Arabidopsis thaliana: one gene and its partners. The protein of the gene in region 3 interacts with the protein of the main gene of each other region in a pairwise test. Each region holds a gene or a part of one and is shown on either strand. Other genes may lie near its edges. The genes, in order: CID8, CID4, PAB5 and CID7.

Evidence for each region.
Region 1: the proteins of PAB5 (region 3) and CID8 interact in a two-hybrid assay, tested with the Arabidopsis thaliana proteins (one study listed by BioGRID).
Region 2: the proteins of PAB5 (region 3) and CID4 interact in a two-hybrid assay, tested with the Arabidopsis thaliana proteins (one study listed by BioGRID).
Region 4: the proteins of PAB5 (region 3) and CID7 interact in a two-hybrid assay, tested with the Arabidopsis thaliana proteins (one study listed by BioGRID).

What each region holds. Positions count from the first base shown.
Region 1 is NC_003070.9:20,027,958-20,034,573, reverse strand, and holds CID8 (CTC-interacting domain 8), read left to right. Parts: upstream 1-2,954; 5' UTR 2,955-3,330; coding exon 3,331-3,630; intron 3,631-3,906; coding exon 3,907-4,020; intron 4,021-4,111; coding exon 4,112-4,156; intron 4,157-4,233; coding exon 4,234-4,306; intron 4,307-4,404; coding exon 4,405-4,517; intron 4,518-4,618; coding exon 4,619-4,678; intron 4,679-4,758; coding exon 4,759-4,806; intron 4,807-4,914; coding exon 4,915-4,983; intron 4,984-5,107; coding exon 5,108-5,169; intron 5,170-5,251; coding exon 5,252-5,312; 3' UTR 5,313-5,651; downstream 5,652-6,616. Other genes in the region: AT1G53660 (nodulin MtN21 /EamA-like transporter family protein), read right to left, coding at 1-44, 435-596; AT1G53655 (uncharacterized protein), read right to left, coding at 1,073-1,183, 1,788-1,817; AT1G53645 (hydroxyproline-rich glycoprotein family protein), read left to right, coding at 5,987-6,616.
Region 2 is NC_003074.8:4,633,317-4,642,036, forward strand, and holds CID4 (CTC-interacting domain 4), read left to right. Parts: upstream 1-2,975; 5' UTR 2,976-3,737; coding exon 3,738-3,740; intron 3,741-3,826; coding exon 3,827-3,944; intron 3,945-4,018; coding exon 4,019-4,174; intron 4,175-4,271; coding exon 4,272-4,408; intron 4,409-4,537; coding exon 4,538-4,728; intron 4,729-5,145; coding exon 5,146-5,323; intron 5,324-5,406; coding exon 5,407-5,622; intron 5,623-5,690; coding exon 5,691-5,791; intron 5,792-5,876; coding exon 5,877-5,937; intron 5,938-6,050; coding exon 6,051-6,081; intron 6,082-6,362; coding exon 6,363-6,610; intron 6,611-6,692; coding exon 6,693-6,848; intron 6,849-6,924; coding exon 6,925-7,002; coding exon of another isoform or gene 7,003-7,008; exon of another isoform or gene 7,009-7,081; intron 7,082-7,114; coding exon 7,115-7,219; intron 7,220-7,342; coding exon 7,343-7,375; 3' UTR 7,376-7,810; downstream 7,811-8,720. Other genes in the region: ATBRXL2 (DZC (Disease resistance/zinc finger/chromosome condensation-like region) domain containing protein), read right to left, coding at 1-37.
Region 3 is NC_003070.9:26,989,475-26,996,732, reverse strand, and holds PAB5 (poly(A)-binding protein 5), read left to right. Parts: upstream 1-2,473; 5' UTR 2,474-2,630; intron 2,631-3,125; 5' UTR 3,126-3,243; coding exon 3,244-3,577; intron 3,578-3,746; coding exon 3,747-4,528; intron 4,529-4,623; coding exon 4,624-4,701; intron 4,702-4,795; coding exon 4,796-4,885; intron 4,886-4,985; coding exon 4,986-5,306; intron 5,307-5,414; coding exon 5,415-5,627; intron 5,628-5,725; coding exon 5,726-5,956; 3' UTR 5,957-6,208; downstream 6,209-7,258. Other genes in the region: AT1G71780 (WD repeat protein), read left to right, coding at 95-478, 1,118-1,327; AT1G71760 (uncharacterized protein), read right to left, coding at 6,234-6,478, 6,563-6,787, 6,866-7,172. UniProt on the Arabidopsis thaliana protein: Binds the poly(A) tail of mRNA. Appears to be an important mediator of the multiple roles of the poly(A) tail in mRNA biogenesis, stability and translation.
Region 4 is NC_003071.7:11,186,287-11,193,465, reverse strand, and holds CID7 (CTC-interacting domain 7), read left to right. Parts: upstream 1-2,068; 5' UTR 2,069-2,229; exon of another isoform or gene 2,230-2,370; intron 2,371-2,681; 5' UTR 2,682-2,737; intron 2,738-2,845; 5' UTR 2,846-2,886; coding exon 2,887-3,660; intron 3,661-3,741; coding exon 3,742-4,180; coding exon of another isoform or gene 4,181-4,215; exon of another isoform or gene 4,216-4,318; coding exon 4,319-4,389; coding exon of another isoform or gene 4,390-4,395; exon of another isoform or gene 4,396-4,760; coding exon 4,761-4,885; coding exon of another isoform or gene 4,886-4,961; exon of another isoform or gene 4,962-5,028; coding exon 5,029-5,323; 3' UTR 5,324-5,740; downstream 5,741-7,179. Other genes in the region: ARSK1 (root-specific kinase 1), read left to right, coding at 330-466, 554-677, 763-1,229; AT2G26270 (BRCT domain DNA repair protein), read right to left, coding at 5,807-6,025, 6,230-6,383, 6,563-6,777, 6,867-6,992, 7,166-7,179.

The DNA of each region.
Region 1 (6,616 bases), 7.0 Mb from region 3:
CCAAGTGGATAAGGGAAGTTTATTTCCTTAGATGACAATACCCACTGCATCAGATTGAGTCAGAAATAAAAATTAGTGCTGGAAAAAAGAAACTGAAAGAAGCTAAAGAGAAATGGAATGAACCAAAATTTACAAAAGTTTGAACAGTAAAAAAGTTGTTTAAGCGAATAATCATTTGTGTAATGGAAGTACATAACTCACCATTGAACCATACATTTGAACCTACTGTTGTATTAACAAGAATTTTATTATTATTATATTTCTTGTCCAAAACCAAATCGCATTGTAACAGAACTTTACCAAGATTGTCAAAGTTAAAAGCTTTAAAATCTACTAATGTCCACCAGATCTAATAAAATCAAATCTTGAGCAAAAAGACTGCAAATAGAAAACATAGATCCAATAACATATGAATGTGAGATTTGACTTAAAACCTTATTGAAGAAGATTTGACCGCTAGAGAGAGTGATGTAGAGAAGAATGGAAGCATACGTCACATGTTCTTCTCTAAGAAAGCCTCTGATCCGACTTCGATCCGCCATTAGAGTCAACAATCGTTTTGGTCTCAAATCAGCAAAAGATATTGCGATTCTCATTTGGTATGTCTTCTTCTTGAATATTCAATAGTACCTCACTTTTCCATCTTCTAAGCAAACTCTTTAAAGTTGACTAAAAGTAACGAAGAAATTAGCGGATCCCTCTTTAAATAACTTCTTTTCTACGAAATCCGTTTTAATTTATAAAGATGGGTCGGGTACACGGGTCATAAACACATAATGAGAGACTATGGGCTTTTGTTGACCAGTAAAATTAAAGCCCAGTATAATATCATTATTTTTTTATTTTTTTTTTATATATATCATTATTCTTAAAAGGGAAATTTGCAAAATTGACTAACAAAAAAACTATAATTAAGAAACTAACCAACAAAAAAAACAGAGACATTTTGTATATAAACTATAATATATACTAAAGTACCCTTAACTATACAATCACCATCTCTTCTATGCTATTACAACCATTACCCTTGTAACCGTCATCATCATTGCATCCACCACTATTTCCACAAATGTCATACCATCATCACCATCACCACTGCAATCGTCACCACCATAGAAACTACCATTACGCTGTCATCTCTACCATCATCACCATTATTGCCGCCGCAATTGACACACGACCACTGCAACCACCAACACAAATATTACTACGACCTACACCATACACACCACCACCACCTTAATCACTTCTTCCTCTCTTCCATTGCTTGTTTCACCTCTCTCGCCTCTCATCTTTTTTTTCTACTTTAACTTAATTAAAACAGAACCGAACTATAGTTTTCTATTTTACTTTCAATTTTGTACCATTCTATTTGCTAGTTAGAACAAAAAAAAAATGAAAACGAAGACTCACAAGATCTTATTGAATATTTTCTGGTTTGATCAATATATAAAATTGAAAATCCTTAACACAAATTTAAACCCAAAATCGAATCGATTTCAATTCGCTTTAGGAAAGGAGAAAAGAGATTAAAAGTATATAAACATGATTTTGTCAGATTTCTAAAAACTGAAACTTGAGATGATTTCATTTAGTTTAATTATTTTTGTTTGGGTTCCATATATAGTATCTTAGGGTTTAGTTTTCTTAAATCAATAGATGTTTTTAAATTAGAATGGATTGATATAAAAAATTTAAATTTTCTGGAAATTTTCTGTTGGATGGAGAGAAGAGAAGAAGCAACGAAGAAGATGATGAATGAAAAAGGTCTGTTAAAAAAACATTACCTTTAAATCAATATCTGATTCACAATCCATTACCTTTAGAACATATAGAATATTACCTTTAGATCAATATCTGATCAACAAAACGAAGAAGATGATGAGTCATGGCAAATTGGAAAATAAGGAAATAATGCAGGGATAGACTTGTAATTAGTTAGAGTTTTTGGTTACTTGCTGAATTACGTAAATTATATGGCTATATTTTTAATTTTTTGTCCTAATATGGCTATACAGCTAATTCACCCTTCTTACAAAAACTTTTTTTTTTGGGTGCAAAATTCTTACAAAGCTTTGGTTAATCTTTTCAAATCCCCAACACACGAAGCTCTTATAGACCAACTCATTAATTTTAAACACTAAAACTCGTAATCTGAAGAAGTGAAGTGAGTTTAAATTTATGAAAACTCTAAATTTGTAATTTGAGTTTTGGTAAGAAATTGATAGTTTTTCTATGCAACAATAAAAAAATGCAAAACAAATTACACACTTAATACATCGTTGCAAAGTCTTACATTTTTTGTTTGTATTTTTTTTTCCTGACGAGAAACCATTCAAATTTTATATTAGAAAAACCAGAAAATTATCATATTGTTGTGTGGTTACTGTTATTAGGGATATCAATACAAAAGTAACTGCAAACCAAAATTGAAATGTAAAATAAAATAACAAAATAGAATAAAAGCAGATTATAAAAGTGGAACTATAAAATCCCAGCAATAGTTAAAAAATATATTAAAAAAAGGAAAAAATCCCCCAACGAATCCAAAGATTTATGGACTAATTATTATAACAATTGCTTGCAATTATGAAGAAAATAAAAGTTTATAAAATAATCAAAATTTTGTTGATGTGTCAAACTAACAGTATCTAAAAAATAACACATTTCAATGCAGTCCATATGAAAGACCACACCCTATCTAATATCCATAACAAAAATAATAACATTTTAACAATTATATTAAATAATAATATTAGTAATGTGTAATATATTTCTTAGCAAAAAAAGTGTACTAAAACTACTAAAGATTTTTTTCAATATAAAAAATGTAATAAACTGGTGTATGTGTAAAATATGTAATTATCTAAAGGCCCTCAAGAGGAACATAAAATAATAAAGAATCATAACTTTTCTTTTCTTTTTAATTTTACATTTGACGAAATTAATTAAGAAAAAAATCTTAGTCCGAAAAAAAAGAGAAGCACTCTTGTTAGAGAGTTTTGGTCTATTTGATTGAGCTAGAAAAAGGCCTAAGCAACAAACCAAAACCCATCATTCCTTCTTCTTCTTCTTCTTCTCATCCATCGCCACCTTCTGAAACCACCGCACTAGATTTATATATTGTCTACGATTAAGCATTCTCGTATTCTGAAATGGGTGTTCAATAAAACTCGATTAATCTCATCAAATTTTGCATCTTTTTTACGAAATTCGACTGAAGAGAGAAGGAAAAGTTCGCAACTTTTTCTTTCCTCTGTCTCTTGTTTTTTGTTGAATTGTGATCCTTTTTGTTGTTTTATATTTTTTTGGAATTTTCTGATCTAATTAATGGCTGCGATCACTGAGATGGCCACTGATTCAAATGACGTAATCAACGATGGTGGAACTGGAGACGGAATTGAGAAGAGCACGGATTCTAAACCGGAAATCGAATCGGATGACCTCAAACCCAAATCCAAACCGGAATATGATCAAATGAAGAAGCTTGTTGCCATGTTCAAGAAACTCAATCCTGAAGCTAAGGAGTTTTTCCCTTCTTACAAGAGGAATACTAATCAGTCTGACGATTTTGTGATTGCTATAAAGCCATCTGGTGAAGACAACAAAAAGGTTGCCATTAACCGGAGGGTACAATCTCTCTTCTGTTTCTGATTATATTTTGATTGGTAAAGTTTGGATTTTTGGTTGACCTCTAAATGAGGTTTCATTCTAAGTGGGTTTAGGTCTTTGTGCTGGAAAGTCTCTAGCTTGAAGTTTCATATAGAAAGTTTTGTTTTTTGATCTGGTTTGGTTGGCTAATAGTTACATTGTCAAGTTTTGCAACTCTTATATGATCGTTACTTAACATTTCATTAAGAGTTTTGGTAAATTGTCTGTTTTTTGTTTTGGCTTTGTGGATTACAGAGAAGAAACAACTATAACCAAGGGAGGAGAGTGAGGTTACCTGGAAGAGCTTCTAAGGCTCAAAGAGAAGATAGTATTAGAAGAACAGTGTATGTCTCTGACATTGATCAGAGTGTAAGTTACTTAAACCCTCTTTTTAGATTTTCAGAAAAAAGATTCAGTTTTTCAACATTGTCACCTATTTTTTTTTTTTTTTTTCAAATAGGTGACTGAGGAAGGCCTTGCTGGCTTGTTCAGCAGCTGTGGACAAGTAAGTTGAAATCTATAAGCTTTGTTACCGGTTTTCATCTTTTGTTTGTTAATTAATATTACATTCTTCTTCTGAAGGTTGTTGATTGTCGAATCTGCGGGGATCCGAATTCAGTTCTTCGCTTTGCGTTTGTTGAGTTTTCTGATGACCGTAAGTTAAAGCTATTGGATTTTACTTAATCTTCTTTACAAACAAAATTCAAGTGTCAAGTTTGAGTTACATTAGTATGAATTTGTTTTGAAAAACAGAAGGTGCACGATCGGCTTTAAGTCTTGGTGGAACAATGATCGGATATTACCCAGTTAGAGTCTTACCTTCAAAAACTGCTATTCTTCCAGTGAATCCCACATTTCTCCCCAGGGTAAAAAACAAGAAGTTCCATTTTTCTCAGCCTGCATAGTAGCTTACAGTTTTAGAAACAAAAATGATGGTTTCCACTATTTCCTTTGGTGTTTTATTCAGTCAGAAGATGAAAGAGAGATGTGTTCAAGGACCATCTACTGCACAAATGTTGACAAGAATGTAAATACTTTTTCTCCGTTAAAGTTTAGATTGCGTTTGCATACTTGTTCTCGGATTTGAGAGATTCCTATAAATTGCAGGCCACTGAAGATGATGTCAATACCTTCTTTCAGTCTGCCTGCGGTGAGGTCAGTCTAGAATCCGAAAACTTGCTTTTTCTGCTCTCATAAAGATAATATGAAATTTGTAAAACAACAATAACATTCAACTTTTTTCTATCTTCTCTCTCTGTACAGGTTACTCGCTTAAGGCTTCTTGGTGACCAAGTGCATTCTACTCGCATAGCTTTTGTTGAATTTGCCATGGTAAACTCCTGTTAAAACTCAGCTTCTGTGTCCTCTTTTGTTAGTGTTAACAAGTAAAGCTGAACTTTTCAAGGCTTAGTTTTTACTTAACAACTGAATATGCGTTTGTTTACGGGATAAAAAGGCAGAGAGTGCAGTTGCAGCGCTAAACTGCAGCGGAATAGTCTTAGGATCTCAGCCGATAAGGTACACACATTATTTCTCTTTTGTGACAAACCTTTCATTGAATATAAAAACAATTTGAAATGAAATCTTTTGAATTCTTCAGGGTAAGCCCTTCAAAGACACCAGTGAGATCGCGAATCACTCGATCACCATCGCCAAACTAGGAGAAAACAGAGGCTTTGTTGATGAAGGAGAGTGATGCAACAATATTCAGTTATTTATTCTTTTTCAGTTGTCTTTCTTTTTCTAGAGCAGTTGTTTTCCAATTATGTAGTTTCTGGAAAGACAACAACCATGAACATGCTTCTTGGATTTTGAGTTCTTGTTCTGAGTTCTTTGACTTATTGAGTCATATCATCTTTCTTTAAAGGTTTTTTTTTGATCATTTTTGTTGGTTCTTAACTAAAAAAGTTTAGAATTTAGGAGATTTTAGATTTTACTATTTATGTTGAAGTGTTGAACGCTTAAGTTTTGGCATAATCATTCTCTTCATAGGAGTTTTTGGGTCAATGGAAAAGTATATTTCATTTTCCGTCAGGTATCAAAATCCAGGGATGGAACTGCAAAATTAAATTTTGGATCATTTTCTTTGTAATGTGCTTGAATTTGGCCTAATGTCTATAACTATGGGGGATTTCGACAAATCGAAAAGTATAAATCTCTTCCCATCAGGTACTCAAACTACAGGGATGAATTTACAAATATGCAGCAATAAGTCAACAGAAACGGCGACGTTTCGGAAAACCCCCATTTTCCGATTAACACAGTAACTCAAAACCCTCAAATCCTCAATCGCCAGTGTTTACGAAAGTTCTTGAAATTTGAAGAGATCTCACAGATGAGAAGTGCTATAGGAAGAAGATTCTCAAACCCTAATGGCTTCACCATTGCATCCTTAGTCAAACAAACTCCATTTCTCACCCAATCCACATCTCATTTCTCCTCTTCCTCCGACTCCTCCGGCCGTGGTCGTGGACGCGGTTCCGGTGAAGATGGAGGATTTCCCGCCGCTGGAAGAGGACAATTCGGTGTAAATCGTGAACCGGTGGTTCCTGGACGTGAACCGTCATCTGCCGGAGGTTATGGTCATGGTCGTGGTCGTCCGATCCAATCTGATTCGATTTCTCCTGCGTTTACGTCATTTGTCAAATCAGATTCTCCTAGTATTGGCCGTGGAAGAGGATCCGTTGGATCAGACACCGTTTCACCTTTCGCTGCTGAACCTCCTCGCCAATCGCCGCCTCCACCGCAGCAACAACAGTCTCAATCGCAGCAACAGCGTTCACAACCACAACAGCAGCAGCCGCGTTCGCAACCACAGCAGCAGCCTAATGATGAATCTCAGGGAAGTCCTGTATTTGTGAAGCTGCAGGAGATGCAGGACGCAACTTCGTCTCCACCACCACCAGAGTCTAAACCTGGTCAAGCTGATCCACCTGATAACATATTCAATGCATTAGGAAACGAA
Region 2 (8,720 bases), on a different chromosome or scaffold from region 3:
TGTTTAGCTGCTTCGTACAAGCTATGCATGTCAGCATCTCTATCACTCACTAAAGAGTTTCAATTTCGACCTGAGAATTTAGAAGAATGAAACCCAAGTCACTTCCTCCACCAAAAATAATCAAATCTAAGAAATGAGAACCCAAAAAGGCTCATAATTTGTACCTTTTTTTGCAACAGTAGTTACGCACTTCAACTTCTACCTTCCAATATATAAACTCAACACTCACTAAAGTCGATTGCTTTTCTCTCAACCACAGAGATTCAGATGTAAAACCCCACCGGTGAAATGACGGCGAAGGGAAGGAGGAGACCGTTGCGGCAGGGGAAAATTAGGGTACCAGGATCTGTAGATCAGACCTAGAAACGACTTCGCATTAAAGACTCTTCTTTTTTTTTAAACTCTCTGGGTCGGTTTACTTGTGGCTTGAAAGCTCTTATCAGAGAGATTGAGTGAGATACACTCTTAAATCTCAACACTTTATGAAATCCAAAGCCGAATGCAGAAGCAAAATGCAAAAAAGCTACGAATTTTTGGGGAGAGATAGAGAGAGAGAAGAGCTTTGATATTTGGGCTTTGAGATCGTCGGACACTGTGAAAGTTTGCGCACAAGTGTGGTGTTGTGTTCCTCCTCCTTCCTAATTCCTATATTAAACAAAAAAGCTCTACTCTTTTCTTTTTCTTCAGAGAAAAAAAAACAGTAATGGCTATTTTCAGATTCGTCTTTAAGTTTGATACTTATGGATTATTATGACCAAAACCAAAAAAAAACAAAAACGTAACACAGTTTTTACTAACATAGATTAACCAATTGAATAGTTCTACAGCTTTATTGCTATTTTTTAATATCCGCATTTTGTCAACTTTTGATTTATTATTTATATTAAATTACTTAGTTTTGAATCGTCTTGTATTTCATTTGCTAACATAACTAGTAGTATATTCTTCAATTTTACTGCTTTGAGAGTGAAGAAATCGGACCAAGAAAATTTCAAATGTTATTCTCTTCTTTATTTCCTAGTTTTTTTTCTTTATTCTCTTTTCCCTTTTCTTGCTTTTTTTTAAAAAAAAGAACAAATAAAACTATTTTCATAGAAATAATGAAGCCGTGCAAAATATCCATGGTGTGGCCACATATTGACACGTGCATTTTTAAATGATTTTGGCTGTCTAATTTTGCACCCAAATAAAGGAAAAGAAAAAGGAAACCAAATAACTAATCCATTTTGTTATCTGTCAATTTTCTCAATAACGAGTATTTCATAATTTAAGACAGTGACTCTGGGAAATGTGACAGAATGTTACTAGTTGGTAATTACTCCTAATTTATTCAAACATTTAGAGGCAACTAGTCGTTTAAATTATTTTAAATCAACTGCATTCAAATATGAATGCAAAAACCTAAAAAGGAATATTTACGAGTCTATATAATGTCAGATTTGGTCACAGGAGCGCCGTGAAGCAACGGGCGAGAATTAACTACACTCTGTGGAGTTTCTTACCATACACTATTTTACAATTCGTAGTTAATGTTTTTAGTTTTTTTTTTGGCTTGCTTTCTCTATTTTTTTCACTAATACAGCTGAAACATTTTTTTAAATTAGGACAAAAGAAAACAGTTTTTATAGCAATGAATGATCAGATCCGATACTGCAAAATATAAATTAATTTAATTTTTACCATACCACGTGAATGATCTGTGTTTTCTTGTTTGATATTGTTCTTTCTCTTTCCATTTTAATGTTAGCTCGTATCTTATAGCTATAACTATGACCTATCCGTTACAAATAATACTTTATGATGATCTCTCTTTCACCCCATGTTAAATTGAACATAATACTCGTATAGTCTTAAGATTTCTGTCTTATCTTTTTCAAGTGTATGTTCCAACCAGGTATCGTGGTCTGGTGGTAAAGGAACCTCGACTGAGACGTCCGACACCCGGATTCGATTTCTGGTCACCAGAGAATTAACATGCGGATTTGCTCTAGCGCCTCAGACCACCAGTTCCAGGGAGCCATTAAGTAGATGTTTAAAAATTCCTGGTCGCGGGCTTAAACCCAGTGGACTAGTCAGATCACTGTGTGGTCTGGACACTAAGTTGTCAAAAAAAAAAAAAAAAAGTGTATGTTCCATTGCTAATTAGAGAGGTACAACTTTGAAAAGTGTAATGTTTCATACATGTAACTCTTATACTTTTTATTGGCCACACCAGTTTTTTTGTATTTCATCATTTTAATAATATTTCAGAATTCTCCAACTAATCCATGTTTAAGTAATTTTGGAGTATTTTTCTAGTGATGCTTTTCTGATTATATATTTAATTTGATCAATTATGATCATTAGTATTTATGCCTAGCTTTATGGTGACAAATAGCATATTGCACCTTAGAAACTGAAAAAAGGTATAAAGTGATTTTATCAAAAATAAAAACAAGTGATGATGAGACATGCAAATGAAGCATGTAATATTTAGATTCAAGCTTGTTATTATTAAATAATCATTTAAACTTTATAGAGTTGTTTTTCCAACTAAGCCTATTAATGCTTTTTCCCCCAACCTTTTCTGTCTCCTTCAAGGCTTAAGCACTTTCATTATAACCCATTTTGAAAGTCAAGTTAACATTATCCCCATCATTAAGCAAACCATACCCTTTTAAAAGTTCATTTCGAATTTGAAGTATCCTTTGCTTCAGGTTACTTGCTTTTACAAAAACTCTTTATTCTTGCTGATTTCTTTCCACAAATGAAATAAAGGTAAATTACAATCGAAGGCTTGATCCTTTATGTTTTATGTGTGTTAAAAGATTTAGAAGTTCTTAATGGCTAAGGTAAAATGATCGATCAAAGAAAAGAAAGAAAAGACAGAAAAAGAAAACATAAAAGCTTGACATTCAAAAGTTGAGGCCTATAAAGTTTCTCAAACTCAGTTTATAGCCCATGTTGAGCCCATTAAGGCCCAAATATAGTTGTACCATGCACTTGCCCGTAGGTGATTGGTACTCTACACAACGATCTGTTTCGTGTAGCTAGCTGTTCTTTCCTTTCATGATTTTGCTTCCTGCGGAAAATCAAAGAGTTAGCTCAGCTCCGATCACTCTCTCCGATTATCTTTCGCTCTTTAGATTCATGGTGAATCGTTTACCGTCACTCTCTCCTCGTAAACCCTAGCTCTCTCCGAAACCCTAACTCGCTGCGTTGGAAACTAATCGAGCTCGTCCCTCTCCTTTCGGAAGCATTTCTTTAATCGGTGTTGCAGAGGCGTTTTGGTTTCTGATCGGGTTAGCTTTCTGAGGTAAATATCCTCTTCTTCGATTCTTATATCTGGATTTTTAGTTTATCTTCATTGCTTCTTTATTCTTCCGCGTTATTGGGAATTTGATGATTTAGGGTTTGTTTTACTGGAATACCTAGCTCTAGCTCGAATACGTTGGAGATCCTATTTCATGATTGCAGATGATTGTATCTTTGATTCACTGTTATGCCTTCCTTTTTTTGCGTCTGTTTGTGCTGAAAACTCTTTGATTTTGTTTCCATTTCTTAATTGTTTGTGCTGCGGATTAATGGTTGAAATCAACACTATCTTTCTTTCTTTCATCCACAACGTTTTCTAGACTAATCGGCATGTTTGATGAATGAAGCCAAGCAAGTGTTGTTTTATGTTTATTTTTCTGTAATGGCGATGCGAGGCTGTTCACTGATTGTATTTTGCTGTTAGATAGTAATCATCGGTTTCAATGGTAACCTTCTATTTATAGTTTCTGCGTCAGTTGAGCAATTACGAATGTCATGGGTTTCAATAACTGTTTTTTTTTACCCTTGTTAGTTAGAACAGTCTAAGGCTGCAATGAGTATTCCTCAGTCGAAATCTTCATCAAATGGATTTCCACTCAAAAGAGGTGAAACAGAGGAAGTTTTACATAAGACAAATACATCAAATACAGGTTAGCTGTTGATATTCTGTGATTTATGTGCAACGTCATATTCTGAGTCCTCATGCATGTTGATATGTATTCAGTATTCAATGGGGAAGCTGGAAGCTTGAAGAGGCTTTCACTTGATCGGTTAGTGTACTTCACAACATGTAAGATCGGGCATCATGTGGAAGTGCATCTAAGGAATGGATCAGTGTATACCGGTATATTTCATGCTGCCAATGTAGAGAAGGATTTTGGTGAGGCTCTGAATCAGAATTTTTTTCCTTATAGAGCTGCACATACAAATTCACACTACTTTTTCTTGCAATGTATAAAATTGCTTGAAACTTCCAGGAATCATTCTAAAGATGGCATGCTTGATTAAAGACGGTACTTTACGAGGACATAAATCCCGTTCCGAATTTGTCAGGAAGCCGCCTTCCAAGACATTCATTATTCCGGCAGATGAACTTGTGCAAGTTATAGCTAAGGTGTGCCTGCTTTTATAAACTGAAGGGAAATATTTATTGTTTTAAGTTTATGTCAATGTGTTATATTGCAGAGAGACTACTTTGAGTTTTGACATTGTCATTACTTTATATCATTGATTTTGGTGTTAGGATCTCTCTGTATCCTCGAACAACATGTCAAATGCGGTTCAGGGTGAGAAACCATCGGAGCTGTTGACAGACTCTTCTATATCACAGTCTTATCATGTTGATCGGGAAAGGCAGCTGCAACGCTGGGTACCTGATGAGACTATTCCACACGGTGCAGATTTGGAGAATGTGTTTGATAACCCTTGGAATAGGTAATATACGCACACACACACACACACGCACATATATATTTAAATTTTTTGTCAAATTTATACTTATTGAATGTTTGGTATGTTGATTTGTCAGCTAGATTTTCAGATCACGGTTTCTTAGCTGACCAATTTAGATGAGAGATGGTGGGAATGAATAGATTATGTTTGTGCTTGCACTTTAGAAATTCCGTATATTCCTTTTGGAAAGCAATTCTCTTTCTATATCTAAAGCTAGAATTCTACTATTTAGTGAAAGCATATATTATATTGTGAGGAACAGCCCATGGTGAATGTCTCAAAGATTAGGAAGAATATTGTTTTGATAGTTATGTTTCTTATATATGAGTAATCTTTGCTGTGTGGTTACCTGTCTTTTCTGTCCTTGATATCTCTCAGCTGATCCGTTTCTGCTTGTAGGAAATGGAATCAGTTTGAGGTGAATAAGTCACTGTTTGGAGTAAAAAGCACTTTCGACGAGGACCTCTATACCACAAGACTTGAGAGAGGTCCTCAGACTAAACAGTTGGAAGAGCATGCCCAGAAGATTGCGAGAGAGATCGAGGCTGAGACTACCCGAGATATTCATGTAGCAGAGGTAATTTGGGGGTTTGATTTCACCTTGATTCCTATGTTTTTTTGGTGTTATAAGTTTAAATTCGTAACTATTCATGCATGCAGGAAAGAGGCCTTCAGCTTAATGAGAACTTTGATTTTGACGAGGAAGCCAGATACTCATCTGTCCGTCCAGTCACTGGATTTGGTGATAGTGGGTTTGATTTGGAGGACAACGCATTGCTGGATACTTGCAACGATCTGACTTTTGGTGGCTCATCTACTTCTGATGGCCAGAAGCCAGCTTCTAGTGGCAAGGGCTGTGAAGAATTACGGGTATCGGTGAGTTCGTCTTTGATAGTAGTTAATAGCTGAACGAGTTGGTGATGTTGCTATTCATTTTCTTTCAGGGTGACAGTCAGTCTTCTCGGAAAAATAAAAATGTAGATCAAAGCTGCTCAACCTCTAAACAGCAATCCAAAGATTTTCCTGCCGCAGGCAGCAATATCAGGTCTTATTTTTCTTGCAATTAAGCTACACATCTGGAAAATCATCTAAAATATATCTCACATTGGGAGTTCCTCTTGGCATAATAGTGAGAGCCAGCTAGATGAGCAAAGAAGAAAGAATAACGAAGAGGTTTCACACAATAACAGAGTAATGACAAGTCCATGTTGATTATGCCGTTTAATCATGATTGCATTTTGCGTTTCATTGTTGTTCTATAATTTTTAACATTGGTTATTTGGCTTCCTTCTGTATTAACATAGTCAGCTGAGGAATCAACTTCTGGTCATGGAGGTATACGCTACTTTCATTTTTATTAACATACGTGTTTTCTTGTTGTATACGATGAATTACCTTTCATTTTTACTAGCATGACTCCAGTTTTTCTTGATCTGACGCTATAATTTATTATCACGTTTATCTCAATGGACAATCTATGGTGGATTCTGTTAAGGTTGCTAAATGGAATTTAGAAATGTTCTTTTTTACACAAGGAGTGGTGACCTGTTATGAAACGTCCATCTAATTAGGAAACTGGTTGTAGGCTTTATGTAAATATGTATTGTGGAATGTAGATATCAAAGAAGGTGCAAAATCTGGTGGTGGTGCATCCTCGGTGTCTAAGGCTGTTACTGAGAGAGAAAGAGAAGCCAGTCAAGTTTCTAGTAAAACAAAATCTGAAAGCTCTTTCGGGCAGTCTGCTTCTAGAAGTTCAGAAAGTCGCCCAGGTCCTTCAACATCAAGTCGTCCTGGGCTATCACCGAGCTCGTCAATTGGTTCTATGGCCTCATCAGAAAAGTCCACACTGAATCCGAATGCAAAGGTATTTTGTTTGATGTTCAAACTTGATAAAGTGTTAACTGTGTGTGTGTTTTTACTAATTATGGGTCGTTGGGTCTGATCAGGAATTCAAACTCAATCCAAAGGCTAAGAGTTTCAAACCATTGCAGTCAGCTGCTGCACCACCTCAATCTCCAATCGCAGATGCCTCATTCTACTACCCTGGTCCTAGTCATGTTCCTGTTCAGCAGATGCCTGGAATGCCGCCTGTTAATTACGGAGTAAGTTCCGTTTGTTATATATTATATAAACCCAACCGAGTTATGTTTTCAAAACTCACCATGTGAAAATTGGCAGCTCCCGCCATATCCTGGCAACCAACCACAGATGATGTATCATCCTCAAGCCTATTATCATCCAAATGGACAACCTCAGGTTTGACAGTAACACACAAGCCCTATTGAATTACTATTCCCACACACATACACAAAAAAAAAAAAAAAACATCAAAAGTCTAATGGTGATTGGAATTGGAATTGTGATGTAGTACCCACAGCAGCAAATGATACCTGGTCAGCAGCAGCAGCAAATGATACCTGGTCAGCAGCATCCTAGGCCAGTTTATTACATGCATCCTCCTCCTTACCCGCAGGTTATTATTTTTGCTAATAGTAGATTCCCTCTTTTTGTTCTTTTTTTATTTTTCTTTTACATAGTCGAAGAGTTAAAACTTTTGGATGCTGAAATCTCATCTCTGTATGTGTGTGTTTTGCAGGACATGCCATATCATAATAAAGGACGAGAGTAATAACTACTACTACCCGATGGTGATGATGTTTTTTTTTTTTGTGAAGGAAGTGTACGAACCCCTCTCTGGTTTTATCCACTCTCCCTTACCCAATCACTGAAACCATTTTCTTCTCTTTTTTAGATTCGCCTACTGATTTTGGTATTTCGTGTTGAAAACAAAAAGAAAGAAAAAAAGAAAGAAAAAAAACGATCTATCTGAAGTCTGTAGTACTGAGTGCACTCTCTCCTTTTTTTTGGCTGTATCAGAGATATAAAATTTAGAGTGTAGGTTGCTCTCATGCGTCTTTTACTTCGTCGTCTGCATATTTTTTTGTGTGTGTTGTGCTAAATTTCTGGGTGATTTTGTTATCTAAAATCCAAAAAGGATGCGGTTTAGATGAAAAGAATAGAAGAGTAACAACGATTTCAAAGCAGGCAGAACTAGTCATTTTTGGTGTTGTTGTAGGGCATGCTTTTTTCAATAAGTCGTTAAACGTTACTATAAGTAGTTGTCTCGCGATTATTATCATGATGATCGATATGACTCGGTGTATATGATTTGGTGGGCAACACATTCATGTTTTAAGATTCCACAAGAAAAAAATAAAATGGAATCAAACCTAGTTTTACCAGTCGCATATATTATTAGGTTAGGTGACTGCATTGAGTTGTTTATTTTTTACTTTTTTACGAGTCTCTCTCAACATTTATTGTTTTTGCTTTAAAGTGGAGATTTTAACCGTGGCTTGAGCTTGACACTTACGAATGATGTTGGGTCACCAATCTTCATCTAGAATTTACCTTATAATCACTTAGTTCAATTGCGAATCATGTTTTCGATGTATTTTCAACAACTTTTCACGAAACCAACTAACATATTTTACGGTCATCCGCTATGATAGAAAAACCGATGAATTTGCTAAGTTTGTTTCTTTCTTTTCAGTATGGATACCGAAATGAGACAAGAAAACAACGAATATTCAACTACAATACCTTACTTGTAATTGTAATGCTCTTTAAGAATCTATCAAAACTCATCGTTATGCAATTACTGATTTATTTCATGCGAGAAAAACCAAAAGTCCGGTCAAACAAAAAGGCAAGTGTGTCCTTATGTTGTGACGACGTGGTTTCATCATCCAAACACCGGACGTGAATATCACGCGCGCGTGGATTTCGGAACAGCGATGTGGCGGCTGTGAATACAAAGATATCAAGCAAGGTACACAGAATGTGTGTCTCTGTTTGTTTCTTTAATGGGACATTTTCACTTCATCAGAATCTGATCTCACCGTAAGCCTTTATACATAGTTGTACCCACTTTTTCTGTTTTAATCTTAAAGTTTACTATTTTTTCTAGTTGA
Region 3 (7,258 bases):
TTTTACTAAGCGACGTCGTTATGAACAGAATATTTATTTTTTGCTTTCCTGGGATTATAAATCTTTTTTTCCATCGGACGGTGAATTGTTAGTCATGTCATCGATGACGGAGAAGGAGAAGGAGAGAGATCCACCACCACCACATCAAGAGATTGAAGAGACTACTCCGTTGCTCGAAAATTCTCAACCGGAAAGTGAATTGAGATCGACGACCGCGGCGGCGAAGGTTCCTGAGGTGGAGATTCATCTGTATAAGTGTGGAAAAGGTCCGATCGATGTGTTCAAGTCAAATCTCGGCGGTTATGAGCAGGATCAGCTCGAGGTTCGATCTATTCTTGAGAAATATGGCTTGAAAGCAATCTTCGCTTTCAACGTTGAGAAAGGTCGTGCTGTTCCGATCAGATTTCACCCTAGGAATGGTCGGTCTGTGTTGCCTTATAGGGATGGTGCCGTCATTTACATCGACGGTGAACCTCAGGTAATCTGATTGTTTTGATTTTGAGTTTTCACTTACGCAATAGGAAAAAAGGACAGAGAACGATCTCCTTAGCTTAGTTATAGTTCCCTACTGATGCTTGAATGAATAAACTCACGGTGAATATTGTTGCATTGCATCTGTTGGACCTTCTCTGAACGCATGATTAAGGAATAGGATAGGACCCAATCTGCTTCTTGTCTCCTTTACATGTTCTTCATACCCTTGGATTGTAGAATTACTCTACATTGGCGTTCTGCATTTAGATAAGTTGATGGTTTTCTTTTGATTGTGCTCATAAACCTCATACATGTCTCTAGACTTTCTAGGCTTCTTTACTCTTCAATTGCCCTGGAATATCAATTAACGTGGATTCGGTGTCTCATGGAACCTTAGGTTTAGGTCAAAGCTTGTATTCTTACTTAAAGTAAACAATTTCTTGGAATCACTCCTATGGCTCATAGATTTAGAATACGCATGTAGAAACTAGAATGGATGTCATGGTATTCTGACTTCGTTGGGGCGTAAAAAGTCTTTGGATAATATTGTTGCAAGAACAGAAAAAAAAAGCATTAAAACATGCAGCTTTAATTGGGTGATTCATCTGATAACACTATTAATTTGAACACCTTTTGTTTTCAGGATTCCCTGCTCAAACCCATCACCAGAATCATTCTCGGAGTTGTGATTGTTACGCTCTTAATAACATTTCTATTGAAAGACCCTCCAGCTTGGATCAAGAACAACATCTCCATTGGGACCTTTCCTCCATGGGTGCTCGCATGCATAGTTATAGTTTTCACTCGAGCTAGAAAGAGAACCAGGGACTTCTTCAAGAAGTATGGCTGGTAGTTTCGCAGACCCTAACACTCGTCTCGCTTAAAATGTGGTCGAAATTTGTAGTCTTTCATCGACCATATATATAGAGGTTCTCTTGCCTTAACCCAACAAGTTCCCTTCCTTGGCAAGACTCTTCGTCTTTGATACGCCTTGAGGCGCCAAATTGCTTGCTTTCAGAACTAAGAGAGAGCAATCATTTTCTTCATTTGCATTTTGTTGAAGTTTATAGTTTTATGCATTTCCATGTGTAATGCGATTTGGTTTTTGCCATTTTGATGGAAACTGATACTTATTTTCTAAAACCCAATAGTTTGGCAACAAGCCTGTCCATATTTAATCTCTACATTCCTCCCTGATAATATGAAAATTTAGTCTTGTAACGCATGACATGCTCAGTTTCGTACATATGTCAGATAGTGTTTCAGAAATATCTAAAATGAATGACAACATCACCCATATCGAACTTACTTTTTGGTGGTAGAAAATATTTAGTCGACTAGAGTCTGACATTTTACTCTATTAATCACGAGTACTTAGCAATCTCTGTTCAATAGATTTCAACTGTTGTATTTATTGATGATGGAATTTTTTAAAGATCAAAATTGTCTCATCCACAAAATATTGTCCATGAATTCTATAGATTAGCCTTGTGGCATACCAAAAATCTGTCTCATGTTTTAAACAATTCTATGGAAATATGTTGATATTGATTTAATGTATAAAATTGAGTTTATCGCGGCTGCGTTGACGTTGCTGATAACATCCTGCTTGACACTATCTGGAATTCCTAATTTACTAAGAATTTTGATGATTTTAATAATATTATTGAAAGTGAATAAATGAAAGATTCTAAACTATTGTAGATGTTATTAGTTTAGAATTTGTAAAAAGTAATATAAAATCTTCATAAATCTGAAGTTATTTGATTTATATTTTTATAAAATTATTAAATATTTTGCGTTATTCAATTAAAACAAAATAATCTATGATTGTTAATGAATTAAATTATTCTGTTAATGGTTTATGATTTTTTACATTTTTCTTCACAAAATAAAATCATGAAAGTATCATCAAAATCGAGAGATTGTTTAAATTTTTTTACGAGATTGTGAAAAACAAATCAACAAGATTATAAAAAACTCTCTAGCAATAGTTTATAATCTTTCATTTATTTACTTTCTATGATATTATTAAAGTCATCAAAATTTCGTGTAAATTATGAACCAATAAAGCCTCTTTTAACAAAAAAAACAGACATGACGATAACAACAAAATAATTAAGAAGGAGAAGTAGACGGAAAAAAAAAAAAAAAAAGTAGAGTAATAAGATGTTAAGAAAAAACATAAATATCTATGTGGCACTAGATCTCATCTATAAGACGTTAGTCGTAGTTTTTTGCGAGTATATGAAGAGCAGACTTAACAGATTCATTCGGTTGCGGCTTCCGTTTAGAACGCATGATCCCTTCTACTTCTTCGTCAAAATTGTGTTCAGTTTTCTTTATTTGTTTTAATGATTGTTGTATTTGGATGGTTATATATCATATAAATTTAAATTTTTATAATATAATATAATTGATTATCATTAAAAAAAAAACATGTGGCATTGGATTATTGGCCAGGACAGAAAAAGCCCATTGGCCCACAAAAAGATCCCAGATGTGAATTAAAAAGCTGAGTCAAAACTCAAAAGCCACGTCAAATCAAACTCTGATCCGTAGGGACCGGTTGGTTAGCGAATGTATAAATACCAACTCTCATTCTTTCACACCCTTTCGAGTCTCTCTACTCCTCTTCTTATTCACCGGAGTAACCCAAAAAAAAAAAGGAAAAAATATAAAAATAAATATTCTCCCCTAAAAATTTTGGAAAACCACAAACAGAAATCTCTCTGTCTCACCCTAGAAAAACCTAGAAATCTTATCGCTATGGCTGCGGCGGTTGCATCTGGAATTGCCCCGACGACGGCCATGGTTGATCAAGTGATCCCTAATCAACCCACGGTTGCTGCTGCTGCTCCTCCTCCTTTCCCTGCCGTGAGTCAGGTTGCGGCGGTTGCTGCTGCTGCTGCTGCCGCGGAGGCTTTGCAAACCCATCCAAACTCGTCTCTCTATGTCGGAGATTTAGATCCGAGTGTCAATGAGTCACATCTCTTGGATCTCTTTAATCAAGTTGCTCCAGTTCACAATCTTAGGGTTTGTCGTGATCTGACTCATCGTTCTCTTGGTTACGCTTACGTCAATTTCGCTAACCCTGAAGATGGTAAATATTATAAACAATCATACAGGAATTTAATATTATTATTATGGATTACGACAGGAATATAATATTGTTCATGTGTTTGCTTTTGTGGTTTTGTTCTTTTTGCTGTTTTGTTTTGTTTTGTTTTGCTGTTTTGTAATTAAAGTTTTGTGTTTTTTTATTGGATCAGCGAGTCGTGCGATGGAAAGTCTCAACTATGCTCCGATCAGAGACAGGCCTATAAGGATCATGCTCTCTAATCGTGATCCGAGCACTAGATTGAGTGGGAAAGGCAATGTTTTCATCAAAAACCTTGATGCATCGATTGATAACAAAGCTTTGTATGAAACTTTCTCGTCTTTCGGGACGATTCTCTCTTGCAAGGTTGCAATGGATGTGGTGGGACGTTCGAAAGGATATGGCTTTGTCCAGTTTGAGAAAGAGGAAACCGCTCAGGCTGCTATTGACAAGCTTAATGGTATGTTGCTTAATGATAAGCAAGTCTTTGTTGGCCATTTTGTCCGTCGTCAAGACAGGGCACGTAGTGAGAGTGGTGCGGTGCCGAGCTTCACTAACGTTTATGTTAAGAATCTTCCTAAGGAGATTACTGATGATGAGCTTAAGAAGACTTTTGGGAAATATGGAGATATTTCTAGTGCGGTTGTGATGAAGGATCAGAGTGGGAACTCGAGGTCTTTCGGGTTTGTCAACTTTGTGAGCCCTGAAGCTGCTGCAGTTGCTGTTGAAAAGATGAACGGTATCAGCCTTGGGGAGGATGTGTTGTATGTTGGTAGGGCACAGAAGAAGTCTGATAGGGAAGAGGAATTGAGGAGGAAGTTTGAGCAAGAGAGGATAAGCAGGTTTGAGAAATTGCAAGGATCGAATCTGTATTTGAAGAACCTTGATGATAGTGTGAATGATGAGAAGCTCAAGGAGATGTTCTCTGAGTATGGGAATGTGACTTCCTGCAAGGTTTGTTTCTGATTCTAAACATCTCTAAACTTTATACATAAGTTTATACCACACAATATAATGAATTAAAATGTTTTGTTTGTGGTCATAATTAGGTTATGATGAATTCACAAGGTTTAAGCAGAGGTTTTGGTTTTGTTGCTTACTCCAATCCTGAAGAAGCTTTATTAGCTGTAAGTTTCAACTGAATTGACAATCTTTTTACATATACATAAATGTTTTATAAAATTGGTACTAAAATGTTCATTGGGGTTGATGATTACGCAGATGAAAGAAATGAATGGGAAGATGATAGGAAGGAAACCTCTTTACGTTGCTTTGGCACAACGTAAGGAAGAAAGACAGGCTCACCTTCAGGTTCTTTTTAGCCCTCTCACTCTTTGAACATCAAACTCTGTACTGTGTTGTGTTGTGACACTGAGTTCTTAAACTGTCTTGATGTTTTCACGTGTTTCAGAGTCTATTTACTCAAATCAGATCACCTGGAACAATGTCACCAGTTCCATCACCGATGTCTGGGTTCCATCATCACCCACCAGGTGGGCCAATGTCAGGACCACACCATCCAATGTTCATAGGCCATAACGGTCAAGGTTTGGTACCTTCACAGCCTATGGGGTATGGGTACCAAGTTCAGTTCATGCCTGGGATGCGTCCAGGTGCAGGCCCGCCTAACTTCATGATGCCTTTCCCTCTTCAAAGGCAAACTCAGCCTGGCCCTCGTGTTGGGTTCAGGCGTGGTGCTAATAACATGCAGCAGCAGTTTCAGCAACAACAAGTAAAGTTTTTATCATTAGTTCTTATGTCTTTTAGCAAGTTTATTATCTTTAACACAATCATACGAATATGAATTTGTTGGGGCTTGTTATTATCTTGGAACTGTCAGATGCTGCAGCAAAATGCAAGCAGATTCATGGGAGGCGCAGGCAACAGGAGGAATGGAATGGAAGCATCTGCTCCACAAGGCATCATCCCTTTGCCATTGAATGCATCTGCAAACTCTCACAATGCTCCGCAACGCTCTCACAAGCCAACTCCCCTCACCATTTCTAAGCTCGCATCTGATTTGGCTTTGGCTAGCCCCGACAAACACCCACGGGTTAGTGATCTCCTGTGTTTTCTTCTCTTATCTCATTTAGTACTTGCATTATAACCTATATTTGTTAACAATATCATTGCATTGTGAATTGATGACAGATGCTTGGGGATCATCTTTACCCACTTGTGGAGCAGCAGGAGCCAGCAAATGCTGCTAAAGTTACCGGGATGTTGCTGGAGATGGATCAAGCTGAGATTTTGCACCTTCTTGAGTCACCTGAAGCTCTTAAGGCTAAAGTGTCCGAGGCTCTGGATGTTCTCAGACGCTCTGCTGATCCAGCAGCTGTGTCATCTGTTGATGACCAGTTTGCTCTATCCTCATCCGAGTGAACATACTGTTTACTCAAGACTATGTTTCTCTCGCTTTCTTAGACAGTTGCTTTAATACCTTTTAGGACCTTTAAAACTAGCTTTTTCTTTTCTACATCTCTTTGATAGATTGTTTTGAGTTTTTCCCTTAGCATTGAGACTTTTACTCTTTAGCACTTTCTCTAGTTTCGTTAGGAGTCTATTTAATGTGTCAACTCTTTTGCAACTCCAAATTCGTTTCAGAAACTTTACATTTAGCATTTTATCTAATAATCGGCATTCTGGTTAAACATTCTGATCACATGAAATCTGGATGTACCTCGTCGTCTACTATCTGATATTCCGTATTTATCTCCATTACTGCTCTGTCCCATCCTCCTACTTCGTCATCCTTCAAGGCCTTTTTAACACCAAATCGCGGTGGTGCTTGGTGTTCTCCTTCGTCATCGATTAAGTAGGCGTCCCATTTCGAAGCTGGCTTAGTAACTCTTTCTGACTCTAGATTCCTCTCTTCCATATCCTTCTTCCTCGTCACTACTTCATCTGCAACACATTTGAAGGATAGGAGAATATTGTTTTAGTAAAACCATTCAGGCCTTTAATAAACAACATTCGCAACGGCTTTACTTGAACTAAACGCTGATATATGGCCAACATATGTAGCAGAACTCCTCTTACCGGATCGAAAATCCGGCTTTTTGATGCTGCGTCTGGAGAAAGAAGGCTTGAAGATCTCATTACTGTCTTTATTCTCACCTCCTGTATTTGATGATGATCCACCAGCATTAGACTCTTTGTTCAGCTTTGGCCTTTTGAACATATTGCTTGGCATCTCAGTGACAATCTTCACATCTGCAACAAAATCGCAAAACCAAGTACATATTTATCTATTTTGTCTCATAAGATGCTTGATTCTCGAATTAGACTCACCGTCTTCTTCTCCAGCTAATCTCCGGCGATCATTTACTGAATCGAAATCGAGGTATTGACTCCAATCAGATCGCTTCTTCGTTCCATTAACCTCCTCATTAACCTCTCCTTCAACATAAACCTCTGGAAACGAATCTCCAACAGCATGTGCCTCTTCATCGGCAACTTTGCGAGACATATTAAACGATTGGACAAAGAAACGAAGCTCCTTAGCCTTATAACCTTGAGCAAACACCTTTTTCACTGATTGCTTCTGATTGCATATCACACAAACCCACTTGTTACTACTTTTCTTCTTCTGCTTCACCTGCGAATTCGAACCCCAAAACAAAATCCCTAAAAACTAACCAATATATAAATTGACAGAGATAGAAGAGGAGGGAGCGAGAGAGT
Region 4 (7,179 bases), on a different chromosome or scaffold from region 3:
ACGTCATCTACTATATTTTTACCTAACTTGCTAAAAGTTGTTTCAATTTTTGCTATATATGTTCTAGACCGCGTTACAAAACATTTTTTCTGTTTAAACCTAAAAGAACAACTCCACGAAGACTTTAATTACGTTTTAGTTATAGAATGACAAGAATAAAAAATATTGAAGAAAAGAATCCATATGGTTCACGTTAACTTCGTCAAGTTCTTACTTTATTTATGGGTCGTACACTACATTAATAACTTCTTAAAAAACTATATATTTTTTATAATTTAGATAATATTCAATAGTATTACTAACTTTGAAAAGTGTGTGAATTGGGACAGGAAATAGCTTAGCAATGGCTTGGGGAATAAGGATGAAGATAGCTCTCGGAGCCGCCAAAGGTTTAGCTTTTCTCCATGAAGCAGAGAAACCTGTCATCTACAGAGACTTTAAAACCTCTAACATATTGTTAGACTCCGTGAGTTTTTTTTTCCTTTTTAAATTTTGTATCCACTATTAAATCAAATTAAAGTGGTATTTCTCAACTGACTCTTTGATATTTCAGGACTATAACGCCAAATTATCTGACTTCGGTCTAGCCAAAGATGGACCTGAAGGCGAACATACGCATGTAACTACCCGAGTGATGGGAACACAAGGTTATGCTGCGCCCGAATATATCATGACTGGTAACATTTTTGTAAGGAATTTATTTCTTTTACCGTGAAGCGATATTCTTTGAGATATGTCTTTAATGGTTTACATGTGTTGTAGGTCATTTGACGACGATGAATGATGTATACAGTTTTGGAGTAGTTTTGTTAGAGCTGATAACCGGAAAACGGTCAATGGACAATACCCGAACACGGAGGGAACAAAGCCTAGTGGAATGGGCGCGGCCTATGTTAAGGGACCAAAGAAAGTTAGAGAGGATAATTGACCCGAGGCTCGCGAACCAGCACAAAACAGAAGCGGCTCAGGTAGCTGCTTCCCTAGCATACAAGTGTCTAAGCCAACATCCTAAGTATAGACCTACAATGTGTGAGGTGGTTAAGGTCTTAGAGTCTATCCAAGAAGTTGATATTAGGAAGCATGATGGCAATAACAACAAAGAAGGAAAGAAGTTTGTTGATATAAATAAGTTTAGGCATCACCGTAAAGGCAAAAGACGTGTGAACATCGCTTATTCAGATTCTCTCGTTTACAAGGAATCCAAGGCAAAGCAAAACGATGGCATTTGAAATACATCATTTTCTCATATGAATTATTAAGCATTCATATTCTATGAACGCAATTCTTATCTTAAGTTATGACCATTCTTCCAAAAATTTGAAGGAAAGAAAGGTGATGTTATAAGTATCCTAGTTCTCTGGTATTTTAGATTAATTTCCTTTACATAATTCAAAAATACTTTGTACAAAAGAGTCATGTACAAGAAATATAAAATAAATGTTTGTAAATCATATATATATACACCAGTTTGTTGGGCGGACAACGTTGAAGTTATTTCGCTCTTTAAAACATAGTAGATGATCACTTGGTTGGTTATTATGGAGATTGGAATTGCAATAAAATCAAATCATGTATGGTACGGCAGCTACCCCTAGATTATTCTTGGTGATTCCAATGAAATTATGAGCTCCTCGGAGCACTCTCGTTTTCAAGATTACATATGAAACCGTTTGGGTATATTTGAGTTTCAGAATGCTGTATAAATGTAATAAATTATTAAATTTTTATATTTATTTTATCTATATCAACAATAAGTATACTTTTTTCCCTAGATGACTTAAATTCAAAGCAAATTAACAATAACAATCAGTTTGAAGATTATTTTTCCTAAATATAAATATAATTGTATAAACTTTAATTAGATTTTTAAAATAATAAGCTAATTCAGGATATTCAAAATATATAGAGAAATCTTATTAAAAAAAAAAATTAGTTGAAAGGAAATAGTTAACCTAATAAAAGCAAGTAATCAAAGCCCAAAAATTTACAATTAAAACCCTTAGTGATAAGGATTAAGTGTCATTAGTAGTTAATAAATAAATGTTGTAGATAGATGGAGTCACTAAAAAAAAAAAAGGTCAAAACGAGAGGCGCAAGGTTTGGTGTCTTGTTAAATAAATCTTGTGGTGCTCGTGTTACCTCTTTAGCCAAACAACACCCCCAAACAATTACTCTTATAGAGAGAGTAGAAGAAGACGACGCTTACCCCAAAACTCGAATCCCTAGGAGGTAACAGCTTAAGCTCTCCGATTACCCCAAACTGCAAAATTTCTCATCTTTCTCTCTCTTTATCTTGTTTTCAACAGCAGCCTTTACCTTTTTCTTTTAACCTCTGATCTTGTTATCTTCCATGGATCCATTTCCTTAAAGGTTTGCTCTTTCTTTCAGAGATATTCTTATCTCTACGAATCTCATCTTGATTTGGGTTCTTCTTTTTTGTGTGGTTTAATAAATCACAAATCTGTTTTTTTCTATCTTGGATTTACTTAAAAATCTTGTTTTTAATAAAGGGTTTTCTTTTATTTCAGTCATTTAAAGATACCCTTATTCTAGAATTTAGTAGTTGTGTTTCAAATTTTAAGTCTTTATGTGTTTGTCTGGTAAGAACTATAAAAAAGCTGCAATGGGTTTTGACTTATGAGTTTGTAGCCACTGAAAATGTATCTCTTTTTCTTGTTTAGGTTTTGGTAATATGAATTGAGAAGTCCACGCACGTGTGTATCTCTATTACCGTCAGGTGTGTTACCTTTCTTCTCTGAGTAATTTGTTTGATTAAAGCAAAGTATTTTGCAGGTTTCTTCTTTGAGTAATTTGACTTAGAAAAGCCAAACTCTTTTTTTTGCAGATTTTGGTTTAAAAGCAGTTATTTTTACTAGTCTTGTAAGAATGAGTTTAACAAAGAAAGCAAGTGAACCAAAGCTAAGTGGTACTAGTATCAAGCCAACAACTTTAAACCCTCATGCTGCTGAGTTTGTTCCGTTTACTCTACGTTCTCCTTCATCTGGAGGTACAAGTACTTTGGATACAAGACTTTTAGCTTCTTCTAGTTCTGTTGGGAAAGCGGTTTTGGACAGGACAGAATCATCTGCGTCACATCATTCAGATGAAGAAGCACGTCAGTTCTGGAGTCATCAACTTCCTGATGATATAACTCCAGATTTTGGGTTGATGACTCAAGATGACAATTCTTATGGATCTGGTAGTTTGTCACTAGCTAACTTGTCGTTGTTTGACGGTAATGAAGCTGAGAAGTTTCCTTCTGCTAGTGGAGGATATGGCTTTTCAGATCAAACTGGATTAGCTTCACATAATGCTAATGGTAATAGCTTGGCTGATAAGAGTAGATATCCCATTTCTTCATTTGGGGAAGATCCTCAGCGACAGAGTTTCATGCAACTGAGTCCAAAGCCTTGGGATAAGCAAATCATGAATGCTGAGCAGCTTCTTGGGAATGACAGGGAAAGAAACCCTTTTAGTGGGAAATCTCGACATGGCTTTGTTAACGACATGATTACTGAGAGTCCAGGGGATATGGAGGTGAACCCTGTGGATTTTCTCGCTTCTCAGTTCCCCGGATTCGCCGCTGAGAGTCTAGCAGAAGTTTATTTTGCTAATGGGTGTGATTTGCAGTTGACAATTGAGATGCTTACTCAGCTTGAGGTATTCTCCTATTCAATATATGGCATAGCTTTTATTGATGTTATGTTATTAAATTCTATGTTTATTTTCTTCTCTGTATAGCTACAAGTGGATGGTGGCTTGAATCAAAACATAAGCCCTAAGACTTATGCTCCTCCTAGTCTAACTCCAATGGATTTTCCTGCACTAAGCATCTCAAATAGCCATGGTATTCCTGCCCAGTTTGGTGGGGATGATTTGCAACAAACTGGAAATCATTACCAATCTCCTGAAAAGGATAACATGTTCTTCTTCAAGTCGGGACCATCGGTTTCTCAGCCTGGTGCAATCGATTATGTTTCTGCTGTCAGGAAGTTAGCATCTCAGGATTCTGGTATGTGGAAATATGAACGAAATGATTCAGCAGACTCATCTATTGGCTCTAGCAGGAATTCTGGTGCTTACAAAAGTGGCCGTGGGAGGAGTATATATTCTGATAAGCTGCAAAGTCGAGCCCAAACTCGACCTGCTCCTGTTTGGGTGGAGACCGGGGATGCTGTTGGTAAGTTTCTTCTTTTAACAAACTTTATTGCATAGACAAATAACTATATGAGTCTTGTTATACATCTGTATTGAACATATGTTATCTTATTCGACGATGTTGCATTTCTGGCTCTCTCTTTTATCTGGGGATGAACAGGCAATATGTATTCTGAGTTACGCGAGGAAGCACGTGACTATGCACGTTTGCGGAATGTGTACTTTGAACAGGTATAATATACTTGGAAATGACATTTTACTCATTTATGTGGCCTCTAGTTGTTCTGCAGACCTGTTGTTTTTTGCAACTGGGAAGTTCCATTTGGTACATACCTGTCTATTAATGTTAAGGCCGTGTAATGTGGCCTAACCTTGAGGTCTATTGTCCAGATTGATTTTTGGAAAATACTTCGGGTGTATGGCGTAGTGAATCATAAGTATTTGGAATCTTGCGTGCAATTTATGATGATAGTTTATAAAGCTTTTTGTCAATGATGGGGTTTTCACCGGTTTTATTACTTCGACGTCATCTTATTAACCTGTTATCTTTCTGTCTTAGTCATGTACGCTCAATATTCTATGTTGCTTCTGGTTGAGCGTAGGCACGACAAGCATACCTTGTTGGGAATAAGGCCTTAGCCAAAGAGCTAAGTGTTAAGGGACAGTTGCATAATATGCAAATGAAGGCTGCTCATGGGAAAGCTCAAGAAGCCATTTACCGCCAGAGGTTTGACTTCTTTACCTGCACTGCATCTCCTTGTAACATGATCTTTTATCCGAAACACACACTGATATCTCCATAAATGAAAAACAAAACTCCTGTTCTCAGTATCTCTGTTCTAACCTGCCTATGAGTAAAAAATGAAACAGGAACCCAGTGGGTCAAGGAAACAGTAGAGGGAATGAGAGAATGATAGACTTGCATGGGTTACATGTGAGTGAAGCACTTCAGGTGTTGAAGCACGAACTGAGTGTGTTGAGGAGCACAGCTCGAGCAACGCAAGAGAGGCTTCAGATTTACATATGTGTAGGGACAGGCCACCACACAAGGGGTTCCCGCACTCCGGCTAGACTCCCAGTTGCTGTACAGCGCTACCTACTCGAAGAAGAAGGTCTTGACTATTCCGAACCACAGGCCGGTCTCCTTAGAGTCATCATATACTGACAGACAAAAGCCAGGTACTTATATAGGATACAAGACCGGAAAAGAAAACAAAAAAAAGGAAAGGTGACCACGCTATTCATTTGTTGTATCTGATCTGTACATGGGAAGAGAGGAGAAAGAGACTAGCTGAAAATGAAGAAGGAAAAAAAAAAGTGTTAGGAAAGAGATCCGCAAGAAGGAAGGAACGAAGGCGTATGCATAAAATGTTTAGGTTTGTTCAGTTAATACTTTTTGTAGCATCAGAGGATCGATCAGACCTCTTTCTATCTTTTTGTCGGGATCTATACGATGTTTTGTTGATTCTCGGTGCTTTTTTTTTTTTACAGTTTTACTCTATATGTTATACTCCTTTCTTCTGGAAATGCTTATATTTGTAATTCTCTTAGATTTAATGTGCATCACTAAGTTACAAATTCATGAGTCAAAAAGTAAAATTTTGTACTTTAAAAAGCTTGTTTCCAGTTATGTATTGTAAAAGAGAAATCAAGCTCTAATCATAAGCTCATAAACATTACTGTTGTTCTCTCCATTCACTCGCTTAAGCATTTCGAAACTTTTCCTGCTTCCTAATAACTCTATTCTTGGGAAAACCAAGCATCCTTCATCTGATGTCTCTTTGCTGCAATACACTGTTCTGAGACGGTCAGCGTGCCTCGAGTCTGTGTGAATTGCAACTTCTATTTCATGATCCGGCAAGTTCTCCTGCAGAATCAATAGACACAAGAGATCTTCTTATTGTGAACTAAACGGTAACATGGGCCTAGTGAGTCAACAGAGATAGTATAAATACTAATCACTCATAAGTTCCTAACTAAGACGAAGAAATTGATTCTAAAGACTCTCCTTTTCATAGCAACTAAAAGGAACTGAAACGAGAAATTGGCCATTCGAATATGATGGTTATACCTGGTAAAATCTGTAGATATAGTCTAAGATTTGCAGGCAAGTGAAACCACTATCACTGAAATAAGTCCGTGAAGAAGGTCCCATCTCCGAGAACCGATCAGCTGGATATAGAATTGTAAGGAAGCTGTCTTTAAATATCACTTCTGTCTTCTCACTGCAGAAGAGCGCCCAGGAAGAAAAAAAAGATAGTTGACCACAGTGAGATATTTCCAGGATTGCAACAATGGCAGCAATAGATAGTAGTAGACTATCACTGGAACAATTTACTTCTAAAGTAGCCATGTAAAATCTAAAAAATGAAGGAAAAGAGATGTACGAAGAACGAAACAGTACCTCTCGGTTAGTGCTCTGGTTGAATTTGAAAAAGAAGCCACTGGATCTAACCCTTTATCTATCCCATCTTGTACAACAGAAGGCTGGGGTTCACTGATGTCACGACTGCTGCTGTCAGTAAAAATAGTGGCGGCTGAAGCTGCTTCAGATATTGTCCAGCAAATATTGTCCAGCAGGCTGTACTGTGTTATGCGTCTTATTGGGTTTTGGCAAGTCTATGGGACATCCAGAAAGAGAACAGACAAATTCAGACACTATGGTGAATTTAAGACATCAGGGAAGAAAGAGAAAGATCATCAGTTACCTGCATATGGCGAGCACGTCGTCTCCTAACCCCCGTTTTAGCTATATTTACAGTCTCTTTCCGTTCTTGTTTTGATAAACTTCTGGATTTAAAAGCCTCTTGAGAATTACCTTGCCCGGAAATTTTCTGTGAGATTTATACAGAGAAAGGTCGCAACTATTACTCTCATCACTTGAATTGAAATTACAAGACGGGACAAGGAAACGTAGGAAGACTGAGAAATTATGTGCAAGGATAGAGAATGGGAAAATTAACTTGTAAGGACAGTAGAAATCACACCATATGAAAAGATAAAGTACCTCATTTGCCGCAC